Linked DNA regions of Arabidopsis thaliana. The protein of the gene in region 2 interacts with the protein of the main gene of each other region in a pairwise test. Each region holds a gene or a part of one and is shown on either strand. Other genes may lie near its edges.

Region 1 (4,999 bases), on a different chromosome or scaffold from region 2:
GAGATTGATAAACAGAGAGAGAGAGAGACAGAAGTACAAGTAGACTATTTATTTTGTTCTTTTTTATTATTTTTGCACACTTTTTTTTTTTTTTGCTCGCATAAAATAAACAAATTTTAAAAATATATATATAGTATTAAAAAAGAAGCTGATATGGAAAAGTCATAAACAATAAATAAAACTTTAACCAAAAGAAGAATAAAATTTTTGAACGTTAGTATCCGTTGTATAAAAGTGTATATATTAAGTTCCAACTGTATTTTTTTCTCATATCTATTTATTTATTTTTCCTTTTTATTATATGTGTCGTTTTAAAGTTTTTGTTTTACTCTTCTGTAATGTATTATACAGAAATAACATAATTATAAATAAGCTGGATTTTACCAATTATTTAATATAAAACGGAAAGGGTATGTTGTTGAAGATACTTGATGTTTTAAAATTTGAAGTTGTTGTAGTCATTGTTAAGGGTCGGCTGATGAGTCAGGACAACTCATTGAAACCATTTATTCGATGTTTCAAATATTAAACAAATAGACAGAAGATTCTACTATCTTCTTCAAAAATATAATATTAAACACAAGTCTTTGTTTCTTTGCTAGCTCTAGTTACAGAAATTTTGAATTAAAGCTATGAAAATAACTTTACGTTTAGTAAATTGCTAAAATATTCAGAGCGATCAGAAAGGAATGTTTGCTCTCTCATCTTAAAATTATATATTTGAGGTGATGCTTCTTCACCAACATGGGCAGATGGGCTTATGGAACCATTTGCTGATTAATTGCAGTCATTGATAACTGTCTGGGTGTGTCATTGTCATCAAAGTGATTGTTCAAGGAAAACATGTTTGGGACGAAATTGATTCCCAATCATGTTTAGCAATTGGGCCAGTCAATTCCCCCGATAATCTAGACCTAAAAGCCCAAACCAATGTAAGCAATACTGGTGTAGGAATACTTGTAAGAAGATTTGATATGACTCCTACTAGAACCATAATGTGGATGGACTGTTGAAGTAGCATAGTAATTACTAGCCAAAACATCCATGGGAAAAAAAATAAAGTACAAATATAAATTTTGATTTTTTTTTTTTTTATAAATAGAACAAAACTAAACATGTGAATAGGCCATATCTCTTAAATTCCTAACAAATTAGCATAATATATTCACGGAAATGCGTTACAAACCGTATTATAGAATAAAACTCCACTTTTTACTGTGAATTACTATAACAAAAAAGAAAGAATACACATTTGTAAAATTCACTTATTTGTTACCACATAAGATTTATATTTTTCCAAAAGTAAATTATCCATAAAACCTTTAATTTGTTTTTTTGACAATAAAAGATGAAGAAAATAAAATTTAATTAATTTGCGTACTACATAACTGGAAATAAAAATATCACATCTGATTTACTGCTATTCTTCTCTAAATTAAAAACTTCAAAATCCATTACTTAAATAATTAATTCATAAAAAAAATATTTGCAATATTAATTGACGGTTAGTTGATGTCATAAAAATAATATAATGGCACTAAATTCTATACAGAAACAGAAATAAACCAATTATGAGATACTCTACTTTAATGTATAGTTTGAAAAACAAAAAAAAATCCCCAGCTACGTTCAAAACCTAACGAGAGAGCATTAAATTAGACAGCAGTGTTGTACTAGATTCGCAACAACATCAATACGTCACTTAAATTAAAATAAAATACGAAAACATTAAATTAAAATAAATTTTAGAAAAAGTAATTAAAACGAAGGTTACTTATTATAGTGGGGAGATTAAGCTTTTTGAGTAAATTCCTATCTACAAAATACACGCTTCTATTAAAAAAAATAGAAGCCCAACGACCACACAAAAACAAATTAATTAAATCATAAAAACTCATAAATTAAAATAAAAAGCAATAAATCCAAAAAAAAAAAAAGGAAACTCCGAAAACGAGACAGCATCAGAAATTATCGCCATAAATAGCCCCCACGTCTCTCTCTCTCTCTTCTCCAAAGTCTTCTTCTTCTTCTTCTTCTTCTTCCTCTTCTTCCTCTCTGCTTTGTCTCTCTCCTTCTTCAAAGTCAAAATTCAACAGGTATTTATATTTATAAACTTTCCTTTTTTTCTTTAATCTCTTTCTCGGGAGCCTCTCTCGTATATTCTCGCACGTGCACATCTCGTGCCACCTGGGTTTGGGGGGATTCGTCTTTCGAATTCGATCGATTTCGTTTTTTTTTTTAGATCTGTCTTTCCTTTTTTGGGGTGTGAAGAAGATGTTTTCTTTTATAAAACCCTAATTCTCTCTTTGTGTCTTTGTGTTTGATTAGTGGTTCATGAGTGGTATTGTGATCGATCTGTTACTTTCGGAGAGCGAGCAATAAGAAGAGGATATGTCGTCACTCAGCAGAGAACTCGTGTTTTTAATACTTCAGTTTCTCGATGAAGAGAAATTCAAAGATACTGTTCACAGGTAATTTATATTATATCATTGTTTAATTGCGGTCCCTCTTCCTTTGATTGTCGGGATTAGAGTAAAGTAGGGATTAAGATTAATTAATTTTGATTTTGTAATTTAGCATTATTTCTTCAATGTTAATCCAGAAGCAGTTACAACTTTGGATATTTTTTTTGACTAATTAGGTTGGAGAAAGAGTCTGGTTTTTTCTTCAACATGAGGTACTTTGAAGATAGTGTAACAGCTGGTGAATGGGATGATGTAGAGAAGTATCTTTCTGGATTCACTAAAGTTGATGATAATAGATACTCTATGAAAATATTTTTCGAGATTCGGAAGCAGAAGTACCTTGAAGCACTTGACAAGTAAAGTTTCACTTGTGTTGTTTAGTTTTATTGAATTGAAGTGTGGTTTTGAGTATTGATTTGTTTTCCCATCTTTTGTTTTACCATAGGAAAGATCATGCCAAGGCGGTTGATATTCTTGTTAAGGAGTTGAAAGTGTTCTCGACATTCAACGAAGAGCTTTTTAAGGAGATTACCATGCTTTTAACCTTGACTAACTTCAGGTACATTCTTTACTTTCTTAGCACTTTTTTTTTATGGTTTCATTGACCACTGGATTGTTATAAACCATGCGCTTGTGGTGTTGATGTTTCATTTACTTGCAATAATTCAAGGGAAAATGAGCAGCTTTCCAAGTATGGAGATACTAAGTCCGCAAGAGGTATCATGCTTGGGGAACTTAAAAAACTGATTGAAGCAAATCCTCTCTTCCGAGACAAACTTCAATTTCCCAGTTTGAAGAATTCTAGATTGAGAACCTTAATAAATCAAAGGTACAAGCTTTGTTTTTTTAACTTTTGCTCCCGTTTTTCTTTTGGTGGAACAACTAACTGAACGTTGCTTCTGCTGAATCATAGTTTGAACTGGCAACATCAGCTTTGCAAGAATCCTAGGCCTAACCCGGATATAAAAACACTATTTGTTGACCATACGTGTGGGCATCCCAATGGTGCACACACTCCTTCCCCTACAACTAATCATTTAATGGGTTCAGTCCCTAAAGTTGGAGGCTTCCCACCATTAGGTGCTCACGGTGTAAGTTGCTCTAAGATTACAGCTTCTGTTGGATTAGTTTTTAGCACATGAATTTAACTTTGCTAGTTTGTATGCTCTTGTTCAGCCATTTCAGCCAACACCAGCTCCTCTTACAACATCTCTTGCAGGATGGATGCCTAATCCATCGGTACAACACCCTACTGTTTCCGCTGGGCCTATCGGCTTAGGTGCCCCCAACAGTGCTGGTAATGTTGTCCCTACTAATTTTATTCTTCTGAAATATGTGTGTTGGAGATTTAGTTTACCAAATATTAGCTTATACGGTTATGTAATTTGCCATCCCTTGTTTAGATCATCATTAGTTGGATGGTTATCTGTGCTTCTTTGACTGACTGAACTGCATGAAATGATATAAATATATTTACTGAGTTACATTTTCCAGAGCTGTAGTGGTAAACTGTCTCTCTTTTCTTTTACGGACTAAAGCAGTTTTTAGTGGTAAACTGTCTCTATGGTGGATTAGAGAGAGAGAGAGAACTATATGCTCATATCAGCCGTTTTGTTTAATTTCACAATACTCTTGTTTATAGATAATAGATAGAGAAGCAAACATTTAATTTAATGTCAGATAGCCTTGAAGTGCTGTCTTAGGTCTGAAACTTTTATTTATTTCATTTTTTGTAGTCCATAACGTGGAGATCAGTTTGTGTGTGTTTACCAATTGCATAGCTTACCATAATCTATTTATTCTTCTTTTTTTCCTTGCAGTGTCTATGTTAAAGCGTGAGCGTCCCAGGAGTCCTCCAACTAATAGCCTATCAATGGATTATCAGACGGCAGATTCTGAAAGTGTGTTGAAGAGACCCAGACCTTTTGGTATTTCAGATGGGGTATTAACGGCTGCTTGTTCGTTTTTCAGCTTAAGTTCTCAACTTTTCTTAGAAGTCACAACTTTCTTTGAACATTTTACAGGTTAATAATCTTCCAGTCAATGTCTTGCCAGTCACATATCCAGGGCAAAGCCATGCTCATGCAACTTATTCTACTGATGACTTGCCCAAAAACGTTAGCAGGATTTTGAGTCAGGGTTCTGCCATTAAGAGCATGGATTTTCATCCAGTACAGCAAACTATGCTCCTTGGTTGGTTTTCTCCTCTGAAGCACGCATCATTCTTCTGTTTTATTCTGGTTTATGCCAGAGAAACCTGCAAAACTTGTATCAGACAGCATAACTTTCATCTTCTCAGTACAATCTGCTTACTTTATCTTGGATTTACATTTGTTTCCTAGTTGGCACCAATCTTGGTGATATTGCAATATGGGAGGTGGGTAGCAGGGAGAAGCTCGTTTCTAGAAGCTTTAAAGTTTGGGATCTTGCTACTTGCACTGTGAACCTTCAGGTATAGTTCCTCTTTATTGATCTACTGTAACAGTCGAATGAGGTGGGAGATTTGTTGTTAGTTAGTTAAAACTATACAGAGG
Region 2 (5,727 bases):
CTCACCGGAGCTGACAAAAGCTCGCCGGTTTGGAAGAATGTTAAGCCTTTTGTGGAGTGGCTTCAGAGCGCTGAGTCTGAGTCCGAAGAGGAGGATTGAGTCACTTTTTTCTTCCCTCCTAACTTTTCTTTGCGGCATTTCTTATAATACTTCGTCAGTTTTCAGAATTCTTAAATCTTTTTGCTGTGTTCTTATAAAGAAACATCATCTATTAAAGTTGTCTTCGTTTGGATTTGGTTTTGACGACTTTGGGAAATATTTATGTTTAAGAAGGTTTCATTGGTCATTGACTTTTATATATTATATCGTAACCATGATGTGATAGTGGGCCTTAGATCAACAAACATGCGAAAAACAGAAGCAGAGGCCCGTTTCAACGGAGCATAATAAATTGCATTCTCTGTCTTTTGTTTTTAGGTTTTTTTTTTAACTGATAGATGTGCCGTCGAAAATAATATTGATATTTAAAAATTCACAACAAACATTCTTAACTGACCCACCCATCTATCTGCTATTCCCACGCGCCAAGGAAAATAATAATAATAGCGAAATTGATTTTTACATTTATTTATTGATAGATAATTTGTGTATTGTTAAGATTAACAGATTTTAAGGGATTAAAGTGGAAAAGGTAAACCGAAGACAACTTGCCATTTACTGATTTACAACAATCCAAATTTAAAAACAAATGGTCCCAGTTTTTAGGGTTGTCACTTAAATTTATCGAAATATTTACACTTTAATTGGGTAAAACATAATGGACAGAAAAACAAATATTGTGACAAACAAAAAAACATGTTTTCACCAAGAAAAACAAAAACAAAAAAGATGTAAAGCTTTTCTTACATCTGTACAAAATAAAAGCAGACGAAATTGTACTTTATTTTCCTTATTAAATTGTCGGTATGTTTTATATGTTGTGAAAAGTAGAATGGATAACCAAATAAAAATTACTGACATCTTAATAAAGTTGGTTCAACCGGTTTAAAATGTATTTTTTTAGTGTTAACAACTTAAAGCTTTTTTCGATTATCGAATTGCAACAAACAAATATATTAACAGAAAAAAGGAATCATGTATCTATTTCAATATCCTGTTTTTTTTCTTCCATTTGGATATTTAGATCTTTTTCTGAATTTATCTTGTTCTTAAATTAAAACAGAAAAAAAGATTAAAAGTAAGACAGCTTGCTAATGGCAACCGCAACAAACAAGATAATTTTGAAACGGATCCACTTGGATTTTCTTTGATTTTGTAGAAAAATTGACAAATTGCTTTTGTATAAAAACAAAAAATGTACCGTAAAAACACACACATAAAAAATAAAAAGTGATAATGACAAACAAATAAAGTGGTATTTTTCTTTTATCTACTAATGTGATTATAAAAAAATCGACATTGAAAATTTCAACACATCTTTTTCGCCAAAACCTGAAAATGGTCTTATTATAACATAAATTAGTTTTTTTGTCTTTCTATTATATATTCAATAACTCATCCCAACTTGAACAAACCTATTTCAAATTTTTTTGTCTTGAATAATGATAAGTTCCGTAGTGTTCTTTTCTGTTGTGACAAAAAATACTAGCTAACGAGGGATAAGCACAAAAACATGATTAATGTTTCTCTAATCATTCTAAAAATCTACAGGAATATTCCCTTTTCAGTTTTTTCTTTCTTAAATGCATTTCTTAGTTCTTCATAATTCAGTGAGTTTTAATAACAATAATAAAAAAAAGAGCATCATTAATTGAACCTAAAAATAATGAGAAGAAAAACCAAAAAGATAGAGAGTAAGATGCACGCGCTAAAGATCGAACGGTTAATAGAATCAGGTTAGTGAAGAGAGATATTAAAAGTTTGTTGTCGTGTGGCAAAAACTATAATTTCCTTCTCACAAACAAAAAAAATAAAATCAAACACAAAATCCCGTAGCATCGTAACAGTAATTCGCTATTATCTCCTCACCCTCCGCTTTCGCTTCCCTTCTCTGCCCGTTTCAATTCCTTCTAAGACATCACGGTCTCTCTCTATAAAAACAGTACCTACCTCTTCTTCTTCTTCTTCATTCGCTGACTTCGTTTACACTGAAAACAAATACCTATGTCACCGCCGTCGGCAACCGCCGGTGACATCAACCACCGTGAAGTAGACCCGACGATCTGGCGCGCTTGTGCTGGAGCCTCCGTCCAGATCCCTGTCCTTCACTCTAGGGTTTACTACTTTCCACAAGGTCACGTTGAGCACTGTTGCCCTCTCCTCTCTACTCTTCCTTCCTCCACCTCGCCGGTTCCATGTATCATCACTTCAATTCAGTTGCTCGCCGATCCGGTCACCGACGAGGTCTTTGCTCACCTTATTCTTCAACCGATGACGCAGCAGCAGTTTACTCCGACTAATTATTCACGATTCGGCAGATTCGATGGCGATGTTGATGATAACAACAAGGTGACTACCTTCGCCAAAATTCTCACGCCTTCTGATGCTAACAATGGAGGTGGCTTCTCCGTTCCTCGTTTCTGTGCTGATTCCGTCTTCCCTCTGCTTAATTTTCAAATCGATCCACCGGTTCAGAAGCTCTACGTCACTGATATCCATGGAGCTGTTTGGGATTTCAGGCATATCTATCGCGGTACACCGAGGCGTCACTTGCTAACAACGGGATGGAGTAAGTTCGTCAATAGCAAGAAGCTCATCGCTGGAGATTCGGTGGTGTTTATGAGAAAATCTGCAGATGAGATGTTCATCGGCGTTAGGAGAACTCCGATCTCAAGCAGCGACGGAGGAAGTAGCTATTACGGAGGAGATGAGTATAACGGTTACTACAGTCAGAGTAGCGTTGCCAAGGAAGATGATGGGAGTCCGAAGAAGACGTTTAGGAGATCTGGGAATGGTAAGTTGACTGCTGAGGCTGTGACGGATGCGATCAATAGAGCGTCTCAGGGATTACCATTTGAGGTGGTGTTTTATCCGGCTGCTGGATGGTCTGAGTTTGTTGTGAGAGCTGAAGATGTTGAGTCTTCAATGTCTATGTATTGGACTCCTGGGACTCGAGTCAAGATGGCTATGGAGACTGAAGATTCTTCTCGGATCACATGGTTTCAAGGCATCGTTTCCTCTACTTATCAGGAGACCGGTCCATGGCGTGGATCTCCATGGAAGCAGCTTCAGGTATATGATGTTTTTGAAATGGTCTTTGCTCTTCTTATCTCTATAATGTTGCGTTAATGGAACAATTCAGAATCGATCTTGTATCTGTTGTGTGCAAGCCTTTCATGAGTAGTTTAAGTCTCATCCTGGTTATTCAAATGTCAATTGGGTTTTGAATGTTGTTTTGATTGCTGTGTTGTTGTTTTGAAGGTAAATATTGGAAACAGGATAAGTTAATTCATACGAAAATGAATGTTCTCTCTCAGATTCATCTTCTATAAGATGGAATTGAAACTGGAAGATTTGGCTTAGTATTGTTTGTGTTGAGCGTCCGTGATGTAGAGTTGCTTTTCATTATCCTTCTTTGGCCACGCATTGTACATTGTGTTTGTTAAACTAGAGTTCCTCTGATTAGTCTTATGAGATACTCCTTTTTTGCCAATATATTCTACTTCCTCTGATTAGTTCCTTTGTTTTTAACTTGCGTAGATCACATGGGATGAACCTGAGATTCTGCAAAACGTGAAGAGGGTGAATCCATGGCAAGTGGAAATTGCTGCACATGCAACTCAACTGCATACCCCTTTCCCTCCAGCAAAGAGGTTGAAGTATCCACAACCCGGAGGAGGGTTCTTGAGTGGAGATGATGGAGAAATCCTTTATCCTCAAAGTGGACTGTCTAGTGCAGCAGCACCTGATCCAAGTCCTTCTATGTTCTCGTATTCTACATTTCCTGCTGGCATGCAGGGAGCCAGGCAATATGATTTTGGGTCTTTCAATCCAACCGGATTCATTGGAGGAAATCCTCCCCAGCTATTCACCAATAACTTCTTAAGTCCGCTTCCTGATTTGGGAAAAGTGTCGACTGAGATGATGAACTTTGGCAGTCCGCCATCAGATAACTTATCGCCTAATAGCAACACCACTAATCTGTCCTCTGGAAATGACCTGGTTGGAAACCGAGGCCCCCTTTCAAAGAAAGTTAACTCGATTCAGTTGTTTGGCAAGATCATTACCGTGGAGGAGCATTCTGAGAGCGGTCCTGCAGAGTCTGGCTTGTGTGAAGAGGATGGCAGCAAAGAGTCCAGCGACAATGAGACACAGTTGTCCTTATCACATGCTCCTCCAAGCGTGCCTAAACATTCCAACAGCAACGCAGGTTCTAGCTCCCAAGGTATATTCCGATCTCTCTCAAGTACAATAATCAATTGAATCAGTTGCTATAAGCTTTTATTACTGTTTTGCACAAGGCAATTTCTCTTCCTTTCCCATGAACTATATTATGTAGAGTAGGAAACACAATCATGATTTCTGATATGACTTGACTGATGATGATACTTGTGAAAACTATCTATATATCTCTTCAGTAATCAGTCGCCTTGAGGTAATTGGAATTTGGAACTTGAACATTACTTGGATTTTAACTTTTCAATAGCATAAGCTTTCCTGTTTCATCATATATGTTTCACTATACTTGGTATGCTTTTATTACTGCTGATATTTACTATTCCTGCTATTTTTTTTGGGTCTCGTTAACGGTAATAAGGACACAGAATTGGCTCTTTTATCCATCTGAACTAGACATTACTGTACAAGTAGATGAAGAATTATGTGGTTCCATTACAAATTTGATTTGCAGAAAGCTTGAAGCTGCTGCTTATAGACGATTATAATGTTGGAAGATCCTGAAGCTTGGAATGATTTGTACTTTTCTTCTGTTTGTGTGTGTTTTGACAGGTTAAAAAGTGAAAGAAGTGGTGGATCTTTGCTGGAATCTCCAAGTCCTAAGTAGTAGTAGTAGTACTATTATATATAATTCTGTTGTTTCTGCAATTGACTTTTCTCTGGCTTTTCTTTGCCACGTGACGATTCCGTTTTTTACTTTCTTTCTTTTTTTTTTATCAATTTCTCAGACACATTTGATGAACATCTCGCTCTCATCTAATCGTTAACTATTTTTATTGGGGTAAATGTCTGGATTTGTCTTACCTAAACATGTTTTAAGACTGATGTTTATGCAGAGTGAAAACAGCAAATAATTTAATGCTTTATTCAATCCCTATGCAATGGATCTAACTTAACGGCGCCAACCAGAGAGTTTTACTAACTGTTTTTTGCTTTTAGTTAATATTCCTAATAAATAAAAAGACTGCCAATAATAAAATCGGACCATTTTTATTCTCCTAATAAATAAAAGAAGCTCAAGGGAGGTCCCTCCTACACTTTTCTGACTCCTTTATGTTCTGTTCTCTGTGATTCATTAACGGATCAGCTATAGCATTTCCAATTTGTCAGTAAGTTAGGGTTGGTTTGATTAGCTAATAGCTACCAATGAGACAAAATATATTAGGTTGGTTTGATTAGCAATTAAGACGACGACTTGAATTATGCATAAAAAGACATTTGAGATTTGAAGATCTCATTAAACAATTGGAGGAGACTTGGCTCCATGTCTCTCACTGTTTTGCACGGTAATAGGAGTACTACATTATATAAATTTGGTAAAACTAGATCAACATCAGATTGTTTCAATGTTTATGTGTACTTGGGAAGAGTGGCCCTGCAGGTCTTAATTTA

What was found.
Region 1: the proteins of ARF17 (region 2) and WSIP2 interact in a two-hybrid assay, tested with the Arabidopsis thaliana proteins (one study listed by BioGRID).

The regions. Positions count from the first base shown.
Region 1 is NC_003074.8:5,369,262-5,374,260, reverse strand, and holds the start of WSIP2 (WUS-interacting protein 2), read left to right. Parts: upstream 1-1,971; 5' UTR 1,972-2,096; exon of another isoform or gene 2,097-2,328; 5' UTR 2,329-2,391; coding exon 2,392-2,471; intron 2,472-2,641; coding exon 2,642-2,821; intron 2,822-2,910; coding exon 2,911-3,024; intron 3,025-3,135; coding exon 3,136-3,294; intron 3,295-3,378; coding exon 3,379-3,556; intron 3,557-3,641; coding exon 3,642-3,762; intron 3,763-4,285; coding exon 4,286-4,407; intron 4,408-4,489; coding exon 4,490-4,658; intron 4,659-4,807; coding exon 4,808-4,917; intron 4,918-4,999. UniProt on the Arabidopsis thaliana protein: Transcription corepressor of Zinc finger transcription factors GAF1/IDD2 and ENY/IDD1 in regulation of gibberellin homeostasis and signaling.
Region 2 is NC_003070.9:29,270,302-29,276,028, forward strand, and holds ARF17 (auxin response factor 17), read left to right. Parts: upstream 1-1,903; 5' UTR 1,904-2,103; coding exon 2,104-3,171; intron 3,172-3,639; coding exon 3,640-4,362; 3' UTR 4,363-4,887; coding exon of another isoform or gene 4,888-4,892; 3' UTR 4,893-5,206; downstream 5,207-5,727. Other genes in the region: AT1G77840 (Translation initiation factor IF2/IF5), read left to right, coding at 1-99. UniProt on the Arabidopsis thaliana protein: Auxin response factors (ARFs) are transcriptional factors that bind specifically to the DNA sequence 5'-TGTCTC-3' found in the auxin-responsive promoter elements (AuxREs). Could act as transcriptional activator or repressor.